Linked DNA regions of Diceros bicornis minor. The protein of the gene in region 1 interacts with the protein of each later gene in a pairwise test. Links are inferred from orthologs where the notes say so. Each region holds a gene or a part of one and is shown on either strand. Other genes may lie near its edges. The genes, in order: PHF1 and TFCP2.

Region 1 (10,064 bases):
CATCTCTGCGGCAGGAGGCTGTGGCCCAGGCGGCCCTACTGGCTGAGCGGGGAGAACGTCTCCATGGGCTAGAGATGGAGCGCCGGCGACTACACAACCAGCTACAGGAACTCAAAGGCAACATCCGAGTGTTCTGCCGGGTCCGCCCTGTCCTTCCAGGGGAAGCCACGCCACCCCCTGGCTTCCTTCTCTTTCCCTCCGGCCCTGGTGGGCTCTCTGATCTTCCAACCCGCCTCAGCCTATCCCGGTCTGATGAGCGGCGTGGGACCCTGAGTGGGGCACCAGCCCCCCCCACCCGCCATGACTTCTCCTTTGACCGGGTATTCCCACCAGGGAGTGGACAGGACGAAGTGTTTGAGGAGATTGCCATGCTTGTCCAGTCAGCCCTGGATGGCTACCCAGTATGCATCTTTGCCTACGGCCAGACAGGCAGCGGCAAGACCTTCACAATGGAGGGGGGACCTGGGGGAGACCCCCAGGTGGAGGGGCTGATCCCTCGGGCCCTGCGGCACCTCTTCTCCATGGCTCAGGAGCTGAGTGGCCAGGGATGGACCTACAGCTTTGTGGCAAGCTATGTAGAGATCTACAATGAGACTGTCCGAGACCTGCTGGCCACTGGGACACGGAAGGGCCAGGGGGGTGAGTGTGAGATTCGCCGGGCGGGGCCAGGGAGCGAGGAGCTTACTGTCACCAATGCCCGATATGTTCCTGTCTCCTGTGAGAAAGAGGTAAGCACTGATGGGCACTGGGACTGGAAAATGGGGAGGAGTGGCAGGGTGACACGAGATGGAGGTGGATAGAGAAGGGAGCAGGAGAAAGTTGAAGGATAGGTTGCCACATGCAGTTTCAGCTGGTGGGCTGTAAGGTGGATCTGCCTTAATAGAACCAGGGAGTGGAGAGGAGTGATGCATCTGCTGAAGGGGGGTGTCGCTGGCCCCCTGCCTGTTGCATCCCAGGTCTCATGTCCTACTACTTTCCTTGCCCAATTCACTGCAGCCATGCTGGCCTCCTGGCTGTTCCTCTGCCCGCCAGTCACACTCTGGGCTGTCCCTGGCCATCCTGACTAAAATCACAACCTTCACCCCACCCTCATACACTATTTTTATGTTTTATTTTACTCCTTAGTACTCTCAGACATACTGTGCATTTTACTTATTTCTTTTGTCTCTTCACTGGCTAGAAAGAAAGGTCTAAGAGGGCAGGTGCTGACTCTCGTTCAATGCCATACTTGACATCACTGCGTACTGACTTCCTGCCTGCCTTTGCCCCTTGCTGCTCCCCATCCCCAGGTGGAGGCCCTGCTCCATCTGGCCCGCCAGAACCGGGCTGTAGCCCGCACAGCCCAGAACGAGCGGTCATCACGCAGTCACAGTGTGTTCCAGCTGCAGATCTCTGGGGAGCATGCTGCACGAGGCCTGCAGTGCGGGGCCCCCCTCAGTCTTGTGGACCTGGCCGGGAGCGAGCGGCTAGACCCCGGCTTAGCCCTTGGCCCTGGGGAGCGGGAACGCCTTCGGGAAACACAGGCCATTAACAGCAGCCTGTCCACGCTGGGGCTGGTCATCATGGCCTTGAGCAACAAGGTGGGAATGGGGGAGGGGGCAGCTGGAACCTGGTGATAGGTTGGGGCTGGCCATGCTGAACCCTGTCCTCTCCTAATCATCTGTCCCCCTCAATCCTCTAGGAGTCCCACATACCTTACCGGAACAGCAAGCTCACCTACTTGCTGCAGAACTCTCTGGGTGGCAGTGCTAAGATGTGAGTGATAGAGACACGCGGAAGGGGTCAGGTGGGAACTGTGATGTTGGGGTCAGGGGTGGGAAAGGGGAAACAGTGGAGACCTGGTCTAGGCTCCGCCCAGCCGCTGATCCTGGGGTTCGGCCCCCTTTCCTCTCTCCACAGGCTCATGTTTGTGAACATTTCCCCCCTAGAAGAGAATGTCTCCGAGTCCCTCAACTCCCTACGCTTTGCCTCCAAGGTGCGTTTACCAGCAAGCCCAGGCCCTGTCAGGACCCCTGCATTGTAAGGCTTCTCCATCTTGACCCCTTCTGTCCTCTAGGCCAGGAGGCACATTCATCCAGAAAGGATTTATATTTGCCAGGCATCTGAGGCACTACCCACCTGGATCCATTTTTTTTTTTTTTTTTTTTTTTTTTTTTTGTGAGGAGATCAGCCCTGAGCTAACATCCGCCAATCCTCCTCCTTTTTTGCTGAGGAAGACGGCCCTGGGCTAACATCCGTGCCCATCCTCCTCCACTTTATATGGGACGCCGCCACAGCATGGCCTACCAAGCAGTGCGTCGGTGCGCGCCCGGGATCCGAACCAGCGAACCCCGGGCCGCCGCAGCGGAGCGCGCGCACTCAACCGCTTGCGCCACCAGGCCGGCCCCCCATTTTTTTTTTTTTAATAATTTTATTTATTTATTTGTTTTTCCCCACAAAGCCCCAGTAGATAGCTGTATGTCATAGCTGCACATCCTTCTAGTTGCTTGGATCCATTTTTTATGTATTGGCTTTTGGGGATTTTTAATTAAGTTTTTAAAAATAGGTCGTTAAAAGGAAGGTCAAAACTATATAGAAAGCTATACACAACAAATGAAGTTTTACCACCACTGCTTCCACCCCATCTTCCCTTCCTGTCCTAGGAGAGGGAGTCATTTTTATCATTTATCATTTTACTTATCCTTCCAATGTTTCTTTTTGCAACTACAAGCAATATGCATGTGCTTATTCCTCTCCTTCTTATATAAAAGACATCCCTCATCCTCTCTGTCTCATATATATGTTGTTCCGCGCTGCATTTTGCTTAACAAGACAGCCCCAGGATTACTCCCCACCAGCACACAGAGATCATCCCATTATTCTTATGTCTGCCTGGGACTCCATTGTGTGGATGCACCAAAGTTTATCCACCAGTTCCCTCCACTGGACACTTCGATTGTTTCCACCTTTTTTCTGTTACAGGCAAGGCCGTATTGACTAATCTTGTACATATGTCATTCTGTATTTGTTTAGTTGCATCTAACTATCTAGGGGGAGATTCCTTGAAATGGGATTGCTGGATCAAAGGAGACTTAAAGGTTTTTCAGACCATTCCAAATAGTGTCAATTCAGGCTCCAAACCCCATGAGGGTTGGCTGTGGCCATGGCCATTAATCTCTAGGAGACTTATGCTCCCCTCCACTAGAGTTAAGTCAGAAAGTTTCTTTACCGTCTGCCTCTGGAGGGTCATTTTTTCCTCTGTTTACTCGTTTTCCTGAGAGTACAGCCCTACGATGGGTCCTGGCTTTACCTAGGGTCTCTGATGGTGAGCCCTGCTGCTCTTGGGCTTCAGCCCCGGTTGCTGCCATGGACATAGTCAGCCGCCTCAGCACCTGCCCTGGTCTTGTGCTTTGATCAGGATTTCCCGTGCTGTCTTGCAAGTTCAATAAAGTTATATCAACATCATGAATACCCAACAACTTGAACTCTTTAATATCTTCTAATACCCAGTTTATGTTAAATTTCACCTGATTATCTCTTTTATACATTAGGTTTGTTCCAATCAGGATTTAAGCAAGGGCTACCCCTTTCATTTGGTTGAAATTGTCTCTAAAAGAAATTTAAGTCTATAGAAACTGCACCCCCTTTTTGGCATTTATTTGTTGAAGAAATAGGGTCATTTGTCCTATACAATATACTACATTCTGGATTTTGGTTTATTGCTTCCTTTTTTCTCCATAATTTTTGTTATCTGGTAGTTAGATTTAGAGGCTTGATTAGATTTGAATCAGGCTCAGATTTTTTGGCAAGAAAAGTTAGATGGTGTGGTACACTTTCTATTGCATCATATCAGGAGGCACCTAATATCTAGTTGTTCCAGTTTTAATGATAGAAAAATGGATCATTGGATTTTGGTGTTGTCAGTCTGATCTGTCCATTTTAAAACTCCCTATTGACTTTTTCACCTAGTGGTTTTATCAAACAATGATCATACCTAGATCTGTTATTTCATTAGTAAGTTTTAAAATGGTGATTTTCAAATTGTTCTATATTTATTAGTCATAATTCTTCTCTAAAGAACTTCCCCTTGCTATCTATCTGGTTATTCTGAAACTCAGTCCCTAGAAGAAAGGCAGGATAAATGCTGGATTCTTTATCAATTTTCAGTATGTTAAGTTGATATCCTGGCAACTTCCAAAGGTAACCAGTGAATTTTTATCTGGGGGTATCATTTTACAGATGCTTGTGTATTTGATAGATATCCTTTGCAGTTGTTCTTTCTGATGCTCAAATTGTTGCATCTTTGGCCAGTGGGAGCTCCTTCAAGTTGGCTCCTGTGTCCTTTAGACAAGTTCCCAGTAATCTTTGTTCCAGATTCATCTTGTACATTTCCTGCCCTAGACTTGGAATCATTCATTTTCCAAGGAGCCTTGGTTCCTAAATGAGTGTTGTTATTGCTTTATCTAGCATATTAAGCATTAGTAGTGGGAGGGCTTTGGGGTCTCTAGTCCACAGTATCTCTAGAAATGGAAGCTCCTCTCTGCTGTTGTGTGGGGCTGCCATCCCTTCTCAGGCCTTTTCACCTCTTCCAGATCTGGTGTGCCTAGTGGGCACAGAACTCACTGTAACTGAGACCAGCCCGAACCTGCCTTCAGAGCTGTTATTTCAGTATTCTCTGAGGGCAGCCCTAATAGTGTGGGTTGGGAGGTGATCTTGGGAAAACTATTCTTTTGGTTACTCTGAAAATTTTTTTATCCTGTCTAAACCTGCCCACAGGTGAACCAGTGTGTTATTGGTACTGCCCAGGCCAACAGGAAATGAAGACAGATCCAGATCCTCTGTGGGGGGCGGGGGGGGGGGGCGGGGACGGAGTGGGAGGCTGAGGGATGCTTCGTTGGGAGGGGGCGCTGTGTTACCTGGGCCTATCAAATAAAGAACAGTTTTTTGTTGTTTTTTTAAAAATAAAGGTTGTATTAGCTGTTGCCCAAGAAGGGAGATATTTTTCTTATCTGTAAAGATGAGAACTATGGGTCTGGCCAGTCGGCCAAGCATTTGTGTTTTGCCGAGCGAGGGCTTGGCTTTTCTCCCTGACATGCCGTCCCCTGGAGTCTGGGTGGCCTTCAGCTCCCATGCCCTCCCCCGTCGTCCACATCCAGGATATGTGCCCGCTAGCCATCCACAGTCACTAGTTGGGGCTCCCCCTTGCACGGGCCACGCCAGCCCCGGGCAGGAATGCTCCTGCGGTAGCTGTGGGAAGGTGGGCACCCGAGCCCAGGGGCGGGACCGGCGCGCCCTCCCACAAACTGCTGGCTCTTTTCTCCCGCCCTTTCCCTGCCTTCCCGTTCGAACGGCCAGGGCCGGCCCCGCCCGCTGCCCATTGGCTGGCTCTAGGTGGCGTCACCGCCTCGGTACGAACCTCCTGGTCCGTGCCCCCGCCCTGGAAGCGCGGGGCGGGACGCACGCCCGCCGAATCCCTCGCGCCAACCGCCAACGGCCGCCGCCCCATGAAGGAGGGGCTCAGTGCTCCCAGGTGCCGCGCGCGGGAGGGGTCACGCGTGCGCAGAAGCGCGGCAGTGGCGGGGGGACAACTTGCCACGGGGAGGGCGGGGCCGGGGGCAACGGATGGAGGAGGGCGTGGCGGGGGCAATGGGAAGGGTGACTGGAGGGCGGGGTCGTGAACTGGGGCCGAGGGGCGGGGCTTGGAGTGACCGTGGAGGTGGGGGGGGCAGTTAACGGATGTGGCATGGGGCGGGGGCCAGTCCGAAGGCGGGTTGCCGGGAGGGGGGATTCCCTCCTGCCCCGAGGGCGGGTCTCCCTTCGGAGGAAGGGGCTGCGGGGATTCCCTCTCCCGCGGGGTCCGACCGTCCGCCCGGCTCAGCTGCGGAGAGGCCGCCGCTTGCTCGGCGCCCTCCAGGCCTGTTGGAGGTGAGGGAGGTGGGGTGAGGTGGTGCCCGCCTCTCCGCCCCCCCTCCCGGCTCCTCCTTCCCCCCAGTCCTCCCCTCCCACCACCCTCCCCCCGAGCCGGTTTGTCCCTCCCCTCCTCTCCCCTCCTTTCCCCCGCCGCCTCCTCCTGCCGCTGCCGCTGCTTTGGCTGCTGCGTCATACGCCCCAGAGCCGCCGGGACGGAGGGGCTGGGCCTGGGGACCCCCCGGCCTCTGCCTGCACGCCCCCCGACGCCCAGACGTGCCCTCCTCGCGCGGGGGGTTCGCCTCGGTCTCCCACGTCTGCCACTGCCCGGCTCTCGGCGGCCCCAGCTGTCACTGGTAAGGAGGCGGCGGGAGGCGCCCGTGGGGGGGCAGGGAGCCGGGGGTCGGCGCGCAGGGCGCGGGCGGGAGAGCCTCGCCGCTCTGGCATCGGGTCCGGCTGGGCCGACTCAAGTCCCCTCTCGGACTCGCCGTCATGGGGAGTAGAGACCGGGACTGGGACACGCCCCCCTCCCGGGGCACTCAGGGAACTTATCTAACCCGGGGGCAGGGAGCCCCGAATTTGAGGGTGACCTGATGTAACCTGGCACCAGGATGATTGTTCTGAATGAGACATGCCGGCCCCGGGAGGCAGCTGTTTCTACTCTGGAAAACATCTCCCGAAAAGCTCCCAAAACACATCTCTGGGTAACAGCACCCCAATTATGATACCTCTCAACAGCAAGAGAAGGTGACAGTAGAAACTGAGTGGTAACCTTTGCTTCTGCAACCATCGTTTCTGCTGAAATCTCAGGCCAGGATATAATATCCCAGGGGAGCTCTGGAAGCTGGGAAACTAGACAACTAGGTTGGGGGGCTGGTTAGGGAAAGGAGAGCCAGTCACTAGAGTTGGGAGAACTAGAGTCAAGAAGCTTGGGAGGGGTGCCGAGAGGTTTCCTATCCAGATGTCTCAGGGATTTAGAGACTGGGGGCACAGCCGCCTGAGACCTTGAAAGAAACATAGGCAAACAAAATGGGGCCAGTCTCTCAGCATTCATAACCTCCTCCTCCTCCCATCCCACTTCTGGCTAGGCCCCCCCCAGGATGCAATGGCACAGCCCCCCCGGCTGAGCCGCTCTGGTGCCCTCCCTCTTTGGGATCCAGCTTCCCCTGCTCCCACCTCAGGCCCCAGGCCTCGACTTTGGGAGGGTCAAGATGTGCTGGCCAGATGGACAGATGGGCTTCTATACTTGGGGACCATCAAGAAGGTAAGACCTTTGACCTCTGACCTGTTTCCTTTTCCCCATTCCCCTTATCTACTTCTGATTCCTGTTTCATCCTCTGTGCTCACCCATTCCAGGTGGACAGCGTTCGGGAGGTGTGTCTGGTCCAGTTTGAGGATGATTCTCAGTTTCTGGTTCTATGGAAAGATATTAGCCCTGGTGAGATCCCCAAGGCCTCAGAGTGTACATCCCACAGAAAACAGAAAACTGGCTTGGGGGACAGCAAGGGGCTCAAGCACAGGCCCATTGACACTGTGTTCCTTCACAGCTGCTCTCCCTGGGGAGGAACTCCTCTGCTGTGTCTGTCGCTCTGAGACCGTGGTCCCTGGGAACCGGCTGGTCAGCTGTGAGAAGTGTCGCCACGGTGAGAGGGCAGGACACCTGAATTGTCCAGCTTGCCCTGGGCCTTCCAGGCTACTTCTGACTCCTCCCTCCAGCACTGGTCCTTATGCCACCTGTCCTGGCCTGAGTCCCCCGGCTACTGCCACTGCTCTTGCCAGTCTCCTCAACCCTGTAAGCTCATTCCTTTCTAGCACAGCAAGAGGCAGCCATGGAATGGGGATGTGTGAGCTTTGTGTGCAGAGGGTGGTTCAAATACACTCTTTTCTAGTCATATGACCTTGGGCAAGTCCCTAAACTTCTAGGAGCCTCAGTTCCCTTACCTGTAAAATAAGGGCAATACACCCACCCCAGCAGGACCATGGTCAAGGATTAAATGAGATGGATAAGACTTCCTGTTCCAATACCTTGCACACACAGGTTGCATACACATGCACATACCAGTTGCAATAAGTGGTCAACCATCAATATTATCATTATTCAGCTTATCACCAGGACTGCCATGTTCCAAGGGCCCCAGCCCCTGGAGAGGGAGAGGGCACATCCTGGGTCTGCCGCCAGTGTGTCTTTGCCATCGCCACCAAGGTAAAGGCACCTTCCTGTGGGAGCCTGCCACCCACATCCTCTCCCAAGCCTTTCCTGTCCCCACTCCTCTGAGGTGCCTGGCGTGCCTGTTCTGTCTCTGCAGAGGGGTGGTGCACTGAAGAAGGGCCCCTATGCCCGTGCCATGCTGGGCATGAAGCTCTCTCTGCCATACGGACTAAAGGGGCTGGACTGGGACGCTGGACATCTGAGCAACCGGCAACAGAGCTACTGTTACTGTGGTGGCCCTGGGGAGTGAGTTATGAGGGGCGGGGGGGTTAAGGAATGAGTGTGATGTGGTGGTGGGGGGAATCCCAGGAAGTGAAGGATAAAAAACAAGGCAAGGGGAGTGCTGAAGGGGATGAAAGTAGGTGGTTTGGGTCAGTTAAGGGGGGAAGTGTCTGGAGGTCATTAGTCCTGGCTCCCCTTCAGGTGGAACCTGAAAATGCTACAGTGCCGGAGCTGCCTGCAATGGTTCCACGAGGCCTGCACCCAGTGTCTGAGCAAGCCCCTCCTCTATGGGGACAGGTGAGACCAGGGCAGACTCTCCAGGAGCCGAGGGAGCCCTCCTGCTCTGCTCCACCCTCTCAGATCCCTTCTCTTCCCAACCTCTGAAGCTTTCCCCCACCTGTTCGCCCCATCCTTGCTTGTGAGTCCTCCGTAGCATGGTACAGTTTTCCTGTGTAAGGGGTGTTCTCTCCCTCTTGTCCACATCCAGGTTCTATGAGTTTGAATGCTGTGTGTGTCGGGGGGGCCCGGAGAAGGTCAGGAGGCTACAGCTTCGCTGGTGAGCTGGATTGGGCACAACCTCAGCATAACTCCTCTCTCAACAGCCCCAGTATTTCACCCTACATGCCCCAACCTTCCACCTCAGGACTCCCTTGGCTTTTGTAATGCTTCCACAACCCTGACAACTCAATGTTTCTGCAGGGTGGATGTGGCCCATCTTGTCCTCTATCACCTCAGCGTTTGCTGTAAGAAAAAATATTTTGATTTTGACCGCGAGATCCTCCCCTTCACCTCTGAGAATTGGGACAGTTTGCTCCTTGGGGAGGTAAGGGGTAGTGAAGCTTTGGGGGTTAGGGTGAAACAAGGAGATGTGAAGAATAGGGGAAGGGAGGGATCACTGCTCCCCTGATCCCATTTTCTTTCCGCTTTCCCAGCTCTCAGACACCCCCAAGGGAGAACGTTCTTCCAAGCTCCTATCTGCTCTCAACAGCCACAAGGACCGGTAAGTTGGAAGGAGGCTCAGAAAGAGATGGAGATATGGATATGGAAGCCTGGGAAGGGAGAGGCCACAACTTACCTGGAAGATCATCTCTGAAAAGGACTGAATAATGGCATCAGAGGGGCGCTTTTCTACAGCACTGACCCTATGTCATTTCTCTCCTCACCCCAGTTTCATTTCAGGGAGGGAGATTAAGAAGAGGAAATGCTTGTTTGGTCTCCATGCTCGGATCCCTCCCCCTGTGGAGCCCCCTACTGGAGATGGAGCCCCCACCAGGTCACTGGTCCAGGGGGGATGGGGAAATTCTCAGGGTATTAATCTGGGGGTATATGTATGGAGATGGGGAGGTCTTTGGGGTGTCCGGGAGGGGGCTGGGGGGATAAGGAGGCCTCTTACAGCTTCCCTTCAGGGCAGGGCCCTGGGGGAGGGGTCTCACGTCCCCTGGGGAAGCGCCGGAGGCCGGAGCCAGAGCCCCTGAGGAGGAGGCAGAAGGGGAAAATGGAGGAGCTGGGGCCACCCTCAGCAGTGCGCAATCAGCCCAAGCCCCAGGAGCAGAGGGAGCGGGCTCGTCTGCAGAGGGCACTGCAGGTACAGGGGCAGAGGGAATGCCATGGGGCAAATGGCGGTGTGGGAAGGAATCAAGGATTATCTCTCAGTCTTGTGCTCCTTCTTCCAGGCCTCAGTGTCTCCACCACCCCCCAGCCCTAACCAGAGTTACCAGGGCAGCAGCGGCTACAACTTCCGGCCCAC
Region 2 (10,127 bases), on another chromosome or scaffold:
ACTGTGTGACCGTGAAAACTTTTGATTTCCTTTTCTCTCAACTGCAGAGTCCTTTAAAGAAGCCAGACTGGGCCTCACAGGCTCCCTGGGTGGGATGTAAGAAGATGGGAAGAATTAAAGCTAGATTGTCAGTCCCTCAAAAACCCTGCCTGAATGAGGGTTCCTTCCTGTATCTGGAGGAAAATGCCCAGTGATTGACCTGGGAACCCAGCAACAGTGACTGACTTGAGCAAATGGGTGAGAAGGGAAGCCTAGGGGATGGATGGGTGCTGATCCAAGGAGCTTGAGCCCTCAAGCCTCTGAGACAATTGATTTGTCTTCAGAGGTAGGCAGGACAAGTGCTAGGGTCCCTTTTCTGTCAATCATAACAATAGCTAACCTGTACTGATCACTGACTATGTGCTGGGCACTCTTCTAAGCACTTAACGTGCATTATTTCAGTTACTTCTCACCATCATTCTATAAATTAAGAACTATTATTATGCCCATTTTACAGATAAGGAATTGAGGAATAGAAAAGATGGGGAATTTACTCAGGGTTGCTTTGTTTTTGAGCAGCAGAAGGAAGTCTTAGACCCAGGTGGGCTGTCTCTAAAGCCTGTGTGCTTAACCTTAGCCCATACAGGGTGGGACCTGAGGATTGCTGTCTATCTTGATCTTTTTGGTAGGATTTCCACATGTTTCCCCCCACCAGTGTAGGCTCTGCTATGTTCCATCTACACAGTGTCTAGTTTCAGGACCTAATCCAGGGAAATGAACCCTTCACAATGAGCCCTAACTTCACCCAACGGTCCAGAACACCAAATTTGGAGCTCTGTGCCACAGGTGCTGTGGTTAATTAGTCATATTTATTAGGTCTAATAGGAGCCATGATTTTTGTTGTGGGATGAATTTATGGGTACAAAAATTTGGTTTATTGATAGGTGTTTCTGGATTTCCAGGGGAACACCTGGAGGTCTTTTCTTGGAGGCAGATCCCCCAGCCTGCCACTGGAATCCCTGTTTCCAGCCCTGGCACTCCAATTTTGCTCTTGGTTACATTTGGGGAAGATAAGGAAGGAAAAAGTGTACTCCCCCAACTCACAGAATTCCAGGCGTAAACAGTCTGTAAGGTCTTCTCTCCTCAGGAGAACCGAGTTCAAGGGCATAAATCTCAAGACTGATCTGCATTCCACTTGGGAGGGGTCAAAGCTTAAGAGTCACCTTTCAATTCACCTCGGTTTACTTTAGAATTAATAAATGGTAAGCAGGACCTTCGTGAAATCTTTATTTTGGTTCAGAATTTAAACTTAGGCTCAAACATTTCCAAGAAGTACATGTCTGTTTTTTTCTAAGTATTTTCCAGAGGACAGGGTTCCATGAGACTCCTGGATATGGCACAATCATCTCTTCCAAACATCTAATGTGAATACTCCTTGTTGTATTTTAAATCCATTTCCTTTAAGCTATTTTTCTGTGTAGGGAAAACATGCTCCATCCAATATTCCTTCATGGGCTACAGTTTTCTGAAAATTCAATTCTCTCACCCCACAAGCTTCAAAATTCATCTCTGAAAAGAAGGATAGGTAGGAAGCAGGTATTTTTTAGGTTATAAGCATCCACACGCACAGCGTGGCGTGATGGTTAGACGCCCAGACTGCGTGGTCAATCAGTGAGGCTTCACCACTCTCAAGCTGGGTGACCCTGGATGGGCCAATCAATTTTTCTAAGCCTCACATTCCTTATCTATGAAATAAGTTTAATAATGGTACCTTCCTTCCAGTGGTGATGTGAGGATGAAATGAGATAATATACGTAAAGAACCTAGTCAGGGTTTGGCACTTAGGAAGGGCTCAGTAGATACGGGCCTGTCATTATTATCAGCTATTATTTGCTCTGTGTCTGGACAGTTCCTAGGACTGTACCACCAGCAGGGAGGCATCACTGTAGGCAGATCTCAGCTATAAGAATCAGGGACCTGGACTGTAGTTCCTGGCTCAGCTGCTAATTTACGTAATATTTGTTACATATTCAAGACCACACTTTTTGGGTAATTTATGAAGCAAAATGATGAAACAAATAATAACTCACAGATCTACTGTTACCTGGCCCACTGACCTCATAAGGCGTTAACCACAACCCTGCTCAGAACAAGCCTAACACGTTCTCTTTAACTTACAGGAAACCACAAAGAGAGGAAGGAGGAGATGGCTGAGACATAGGTCAAATCCAGTTAAAACCGGTTGAAGGCAACATGGCAGTCCGACTTGACCTGACATAGACCCCACAGCTCCTCATATGCTCATTATAGTACATTACCACATTACAGAACACACACACCGACGCCATGACAGTTTACAACTGCCATGGCAACCGCAGGATATAACCAAATAAGAAAAGAGGAGGCACCCTCGCTCCCCAGAAAAGCCTGCCCATTTCCCCAAATAACTATGAATATTCCTCCCCTTCATTACCTAGACCCCTTATAACAGCTGCTTAATCACCCCAGGAGCTGACAAGTGGATTTGTGAACTTAGGTCCCGCTTTTCCATTCTTTGACCATTGAACAAAGCTTGTGCCGCTGACCTCTCAGCTTCTATGTCATTTCACATCTGCGACACCAAATAGGAAAGAACCCTTCAAGGAAGGGACAGATTGTGGGTACAGGGCCCACATGTGGGCCCCTCCTTGGAGCTCCTCTGAGTGTGAGTGAGGTGAAATTCGTAACACCACCACTCAACTTAACTACCACTGTTGAAGCTACTTTTGAGTTCCTCCTCTACCAGCACCCCACCACCCCCACCACATTTTCTTATATGTGGCCACCACAGAGTCTTGTTTATCTTTTCACGCCCCCCCCCCTTTTTTTTTGTGAGGAAGATCAGCCCTGAGCTAACTTCTGTTCCCAATCCTCATCTTTTTGCTGAGGAAGATTGGCCCTGGGCCAATATCTGTGCCCATCTTCCTCTACTTTATATGGGACGCTGCCACAGCATGGCTTGTTAAGCGGTGCGTTGGTCTGCGCCCAGGATCTGAACCTAACCACTACACCACCTGGCCGGCCCCTTCCTTCCTTTTTTAAAGGAATGTGTGTATATTTCCCTAAATGATATATTGCTTAATTTTGCTGGGGTTTGAGCTTTATAAAACGATGTTACACTGCATGAGGACTTCCCCATTTTCCCCCACGTTTCTAAGATTGATTTATTCACTTGGTTGAGTATAGCTTTATTCATTTTTTAAAGTTTTATTCATTTTTACTGCTGTATAATCTTCTATCCCACGCCAATTTATCCGTTCTCTTGTTGGTGGACATTTGTTTTGTTCTGTTTTGTTGCTATAAATAGTGTTGGCATGAACATTCTCATACAAGTCTCCTGGTACATATGTGCAAGAGTTCTCTAGGGTTCATATATAGAGTGGAGTCGCTGAATCACAGAATAATTCTCAGGATGGTTTCTAAAGAGGTTGCAGTCTGCTTGAACACTCTCCCTCTCTTAGTTTCAGTTTCTGCATAGTAAAAAAACAAAACAAACGCTTTCATGAGGATTAAATAAGACATATTTAATTATGTTTTAATTAAATATACATTAAAGTGATACCAAAATTATAACACACCATACAATGTAAATTAATGTTTTTAAATAGGATGATAATACCAACCCAATCTTAACAGAGAAGTGGAAATGGGGTAGTAGGAGACAGGAGCTAACATTTATTGAATAATTATTATTTTTGTGGCATCTTGGCACTTCATTTAATCCTCACAATTTTAGGAGGAGGTATTATTTTCACTAATTTATGGATTAAAGTACTGAGGCTCAGAGATGTAAAGTTATTTGCCCAAGATTATGCATCTAGTGACAGAGCTGTTGTTCAAACAAGGCATGGTTCCACCTAATAGATGTTTTAAAATACTCTAGATACACTGCTTGAATACAAAGGATTTTGCCAAGACTTGGATGCCAGAGCTTATTAAGGTAAGAAGATGGGTAAGACTAGAGCCCTCAAAGAGAGAAGACTGTAGCTGAAACTGGGGGTATGCTGTCAACTTCATGTCAACCTCTCTCCTCTCTTTCTTTCCTTTTTAAATTCAATAAGTATTTTTTAAAGTCCTATTGAATGCAGGAACTATACTAGGAGATATTAAGAACACAAGCCTGAAGAAGACTTATTCCCTATTCTTTAGGAGATCACAGTCTAGAGAAAAAGGCAGATATATACGAAATTATAATTCAAGGTAGATTGTAAAAAATTCAGTAGTGGAATACAATGAACCAATACTTTCACATATAGGCAATGCCTTGTAGTGAAAAATGTCAGGCTTTGGAATCAACTCTGAAGTTGGCACACCAATTTAGCTTTGGCCAATTTAAGCCCTTAGCCTCCTCTCCTTATTGGTAAAATCAGGTCCATAACACTTACCTTTAGAAAGATAATTCTAGTCACAAGATTGTCTTGAGGATTACTGATAATGTAATAAAGTTCCTGCCATATAGTTAATGCCCAATAAGCAATGGACATTATTATTTAATCCCCAAAGGAGGAAGGTGGTGCAGGTATGGTTATTCCTACATTTCAAATGAGGAAGCTAAATCTCAATGAGATGAAGCTATTATTCTGAAGTCACCAAACTAGTAAGTGAAGATGCCAGCCCAAATTCCAATCTTTAGACCACTACCTTTTTTTGTGTGTGTGTGAGGAGATCAGCCCTGTGCTAACATCTGCCAATCCTCCTCTTTTTGCTGAGGAAAACTGGCCCTGGGCTAACATCCGTGCCCATCCTCCTCCACTTTATTTATTTTTTCCCCCCAAAGCCCCAGTAGATAGTTGTATGTCATAGCTGCACATCGTTCTAGTTGCTGTATGTGGGATGCTGCCTCAGCATGGCCGGAGAAGTGGTGCATTGGTACGCCCCCAGGGATCCAAACACCCGCCGCCAGCAGCGGAGCACGCGCACTTAACCGCTAAGCCAGGGGCAGGCCCCCAGACCACTACCTTTTAAAAACCACAACACTTTCACCCATCTCATGCTTTCCTGTTCAAATGCACTAGGAAGAAGGCAGAAAGTAAAATGATCAAGGGAAATCGGATTTAAGCAGTCTTGACCTCCGGAGAAGTGAGTCTAAGGACAGAGAGTATCTCAGGAGGAAACGAGCACGCGTCCGCCAGGACTGGGTGTGGGTTCGGTACACCTAGAGCGAAAGCTCCACCCACGCCTTAGGGTTCCGACTCGGTAAGTAGCGGATGCCAAAACTCAGGTAGCCACAAGGAGGGACGTTTAAACCGGGACACCTGACGCACGCCGGGCCCTCTCCCGGATTGCCCAGCCCATCTCCGGGGGGCGGGAAGCCGTGTCGTAGCTAGCCTATCATCACTGCCGAGGCCGACGACGTCTCTTCCCCATTGGCGGGCGGCAGAGTGACGTCACGTTCGCCGGACCGGCAAAGGAAGAGGGCGCCATGATTGGTTGGCGCTGGGGCCGCGGGCGGTGGAGGAGCTCGGCGAGTCTGGGTTTCACGCCGGTGTCGGACTTTTCCCTTCCATGTGTCGAGGCCGTGGGGGGCTGCAGAGGGAGGGGAGTCGGCTCGGCGGAAACCTGGATTTGGTTCTAAGAGCCGTGGGGTTGAGCGGGGGTGACCGGAAGTGATCTTGGGACTGACCGGAAGCCAGGCCTGGAGGGGACAGGGAGAGCGGGTCCCCGGAGGGAGGGGGCTCCCAGTGGAAGGGGGCGGGGGGAGAGGTGGGAGAGCGGAGTGGGAGCGCCGGGTAGGCGGCGCGTGCCGCTGCTGGTCTGTTTGGAAAGCAGTGTGACCACCACGAACCCAAGGAGTGGGAGTATGGGAGTCCAGGGCTGCCTCTGGGCAGTCTGGAGTAGTTAAGCAAAGGGGCCCTCGTGCGGCTCCAGAGAGCTGGGTGGGAGGGGTTTTCAGTCGGGGCAGCCAAGAGCAAGGAGGCAAGGGTACGGGCGGTTAGTTAGATTGTGCGGGCAGTGCGGGTTGGGCTTGGGGGTGGCTGGTAGGTACTGTGTGGGAGATCTTGGTTTGGAGTTTTCTACAGTCTTGCCCCTGGTGGGTAGAATCACACTACTCGCCTTTGTACAAGAAAACGGTGTCTCCTGGGGCAGCGAAGGAGCCAGGATGGCCTGGGCTCTGAAGCTGCCTCTGGCCGATGAAGTGATTGAATCCGGGCTGGTGCAGGACTTTGATGCTAGTCTCTCCGGGATCGGCCAGGAACTGGGTGCTGGTGCCTATAGCATGAGGTGAGTGAGATTTTCCCAGACCCTGCACCTTCTGAATAACAAAGGCAGGATAGAGAATAAGGAAAAAAAAAAAAAAAAAAAAAAGAGGTGTATAGAGTTAAAGAAGCTGTCTGCGGGTAGGGAAAAGGGACTTGTTTCTTAGGTTGCTTTGAGTAGTGATTGTTGTGGAAGAAATGGAACAAGAGATTGTAGGCATGTCAAGTCTGTGCAAGATAAGTCGAAGAAAGAAGGGCCTTGGATTAGCAACCAGATGAGAGGTTGTTGTGCCGGTGTGGGAGACTTGGAGACTGATGGTGTGTGTGGATGGGTTGGGCTGGACTTGTGTGAAGAGGAGGCCAAACTGAGCATGTGAGAGAAATCTAGGGAGTTGGGGAGTTGGGAGGTAGGCTTAGTGAAAATTGTTTGCTTTTTGTGAGGAAATGTGAGACCTTGGTGAAGAAGTTCACCCATCCGTATTTTAGCCTACTTTAAGACTTTACTTAGTTCTAGGGTTTCTGATTTTTGAAACATAAGCTGTGAAATGAAAAAGTGTCATAGAGAACTTTTAGATGCTTAGACCTTCGTATATCAAGCTAAATGCTGATAATAAATAAAAGTCTCCTTTGAAAGCAGCATAACTTCCCGTGTAATTTATTTGCATGCATTAGCTATTTCATTCCCCCAGCAGTTTGTTTCATTTATAGGATGTGCAAGAATCACGTCTGGAAATGTTGAATTACCAGCATCTTAGGGTTAGATGGAATATAATTGGGGTTCCAAATGCATTTTAAGGCTTAATCTAAATAAGTAAGTCAAAAGAGATGTTACAACTTAACACTTTAATTGAGTTTATGGGTTTATAGGGGAAAGACGCTTTTTATGGAGGACAAATTCTGCATCTGATAGTGAGGTCCTTTGAGAGTTATGTAATTGAAACTTCCTTTCTTTATCCCTGCTAAACCAAAGTCGACTTTCCTCACTGAAGTAAAATTACGAGTTAGAACTTAATAGTTCATCTTCAGAAATCTTTGCTTACAGTTAGGATAATAAAGGCTCTCCTTGTATACATATTTTCATGATTTTTAGGGAAATTTGAGTTCTATCATGCAATGCTGTTAGTCTTGAGGAATTTAACTCTGGTTTTGCCTGTCATTGTTTACGTAAGTCTGACCATAAAAATAGAGATTAACTTGGTCTGAAAGTAAATGTCCCAGCCCTGAGCTTGCATGTCAGTTATCTGACATAATATTTGACAGTTTATGCTGTTCATGTAAAGATTACTACAGCAAAAAGTTTGGTTTTGTCTAGGTTATTGGATTTTGGGTTGGAGATAATTAAATATAACTGTACTTGTTATAAAAATAGTTAACATTGTCAGCAAACATTTGCTCATCTACTACGTGCTCTCTCTACCACGCAACCTTACATTTGTATTTTCCTGTGTCATACCCTGAGTGGCCTTCACAGGTATTAGTAGAATGGCTTGCATATGTACACATTTAGAATTTTTTTCCATCATCAAATCCGCGTGAGTTTTCAAATATCACTTTATGTTTTCCCCAGAGCACACTGTGCCAAAATTTTAAGTATTTTTTTCACCTTCCTCTTTTTCATCCATTTTGCTTTTGTAACTTCTCTTGACTCTTACATACATTTAATCATTTGCATTGATTTGTGTTAATTAGATATTAGTTGTCAAACTTGAGCATTCATGAGAATCATCTGGAGTTCTTATTCAAAATAGTTTCCAGGGCCCCATTTTCCGTGACTGGGGCACAGACCAGAAATCTGATTTTTGTAAAACAAGTTCTTAGATGATTTTGCTGCAGGTAGTCCAGGGACCCTGTTTTGAGAAACACTGGCTGGAGCAGTTTTTAGACACAAAGACAGTGATTCTTTGCTCTTCCTGTAATTAGACCTTGTGATCGCTTGTCCTACACCTTTTTTAGGCAAGATGTCCTCTTTGACAAGCAATTTGTTTTGTAAAATATTTTCCTTAATGTATTTATTTTACCCTAGTTTGCTTATTTTCTGCTACATGGTATAATAGTTTCGCTTCATATCTGTTAATTTATATTTGATGAAGATTCATCTGAACTGGATTTCTGTTTTTGATTCTTGATCCGCCATTGTATTCAGTAAAGTTCTTTTCATAAGTGGTCCTTGAATATTCTCCTTACTTTTTTCCTTATGTTTTAATACATGGCACAAACTTTATGGTTAAAATAAAGGAAATGCCCTGAAAATATGCTGAGTGAAAGAAGCCAGTCGCAAAAGATCACATAACATCTGATTTCATTTCTATGAAATGTCTAGAATAGGCAAATCAATAGAGACAGAAAGTAGATTAGTGGTTGACTAGAGCTGTGGAGGAAGAGGGACTGGGCATGACTGCAAATGCGTACTGGTTTTTTTTCGGGGGGGGTGATAAAAATGTTCTAAAATTGTGATGATGGTTGCACAACTCTGTGACCACACTAAAGACAATTGAATTGCACACTTTAAATGGATGAATTGTATGGTATATAAATTGTATCTCAATAGAACTGTTATAAAAAAAGAGTAAAAAGATTAAATTTTGTGGTTTTTTTTTTTAAATTTTCCCCTTTCTCTCATTCCATTTTTTTTTAAGTTGAGGTGGAATTGACATTACGTAGAATTAATCGTTTTAAAGTGAACAACTCAGTGGCATTTAGTATGTTCATGATATTGTGCAATCACCACCTCTTATCTAGTTCCAAAACATTTTCATCACCCCCGAAGAAAACCCTGTACCTGTTAAGCAATTGCTCTCCATTTCCCCTTCCCCTCTCTTCCTGCTAATCACTAATATGCAATCTGTATCTATGGATTTACCTATTCTGGATATATTATATACAGTGGTCCCCCCTTATAAGCTGGGGGTTCGTTCCAAGACCCCGCAGTGGATGCCCGAAACTGCGGATAGTACCAAACCCTATACTATGTTTTTTCCTATATATACATACTTGCGATAAAGTTTAATTTATAAGTTACTCACAGTAAGAGATTAACAACAATAACTAATAATAAAATAGAACAATTATTATACTGTAATAAAAGTTATGTGAATGTGGTCTCTCTCTCTTTCAATCCAAATCTATTCCTGAATCTGTGTAACCATCCCTTTCTTGCAGTAAGAGGCTTGGTGTCACACGTTTCAGGGGATCCCTTGCTGATGTCTTCGTATAGGCTCAGTGCTTTCTGGCACAACACGTCACCACCATTTGGAACACGTTTTCTTTCTTTCTTTTTTTTTTTTGAGAGGAAGATTAGCCGTGAGCTAACATCCGTTGCCAATCCTCCTTTTTTGCTGAGGAAGATTGGCCCTGGGCTAACATCTGTACCCATCTTCCTCTACTTTATATGGGATCCCGCCACAGCATGGCCTGACAAGCGGTGCATTGGTCGGCGCCTGGGATCTGAACCTGCGAACCCTGGGCCACCAAAGTGGAATGTGCGAACTTAACCGCTATGCCACTGGCCAGGCCCCTGGAACATGTTTTCTGTTTGTGTCTTCCACCCACAAATGTAATTTCTTTTCCGTCTTAACTAAGCACTTATCACACTGTGGCCATAACTTGCAGCTTGAGGTGCAACAGCAAAACTAGCACGAATTTCTTTTCCCGTCTTCTCAATTTCACCGATAGAAGATTTGTTCTTACTGTAGATCTTAGCAACCTCAGCATATGATTTTTTCTTTCCTTATTAAGTTGAGAACTTTCCCCTTTTCACTTAAAGGAAGTGCTTTACGGCTTCTCTTTGGCATATCCGAATTCCTAGCATCACTGCTCTTACCGTTTGGGGCCATTATTAAGTAAAATAAGGGTTACTTGAACACAAGCACTGTGATACCACGACAGTCGGTCTGGTAACCGAGAAGGCTACTA

The links.
Region 2: the proteins of PHF1 (region 1) and TFCP2 interact in binary tests that used the Homo sapiens proteins (3 or more experiments, as listed by UniProt). The two-hybrid records come from large-scale screens. The link is inferred for Diceros bicornis minor from reciprocal best matches to the Homo sapiens genes PHF1 and TFCP2.

What each region holds. Positions count from the first base shown.
Region 1 is NC_080753.1:31,077,878-31,087,941, reverse strand, and holds the start of PHF1 (PHD finger protein 1), read left to right. Parts: upstream 1-5,764; 5' UTR 5,765-6,242; intron 6,243-6,265; exon of another isoform or gene 6,266-6,496; 5' UTR 6,497-6,517; coding exon 6,518-6,590; intron 6,591-6,974; coding exon 6,975-7,150; intron 7,151-7,242; coding exon 7,243-7,324; intron 7,325-7,433; coding exon 7,434-7,529; intron 7,530-7,988; coding exon 7,989-8,089; intron 8,090-8,192; coding exon 8,193-8,341; intron 8,342-8,518; coding exon 8,519-8,614; intron 8,615-8,804; coding exon 8,805-8,873; intron 8,874-9,016; coding exon 9,017-9,140; intron 9,141-9,249; coding exon 9,250-9,317; intron 9,318-9,485; coding exon 9,486-9,590; intron 9,591-9,712; coding exon 9,713-9,902; intron 9,903-9,990; coding exon 9,991-10,064. Other genes in the region: kinesin-like protein KIFC1, read left to right, coding at 1-728, 1,290-1,580, 1,682-1,755, 1,900-1,975, 4,756-4,800. UniProt on the Homo sapiens protein: Polycomb group (PcG) that specifically binds histone H3 trimethylated at 'Lys-36' (H3K36me3) and recruits the PRC2 complex. Involved in DNA damage response and is recruited at double-strand breaks (DSBs).
Region 2 is NC_080756.1:18,721,606-18,731,732, forward strand, and holds the start of TFCP2 (alpha-globin transcription factor CP2), read left to right. Parts: upstream 1-5,711; 5' UTR 5,712-6,118; coding exon 6,119-6,240; intron 6,241-10,127.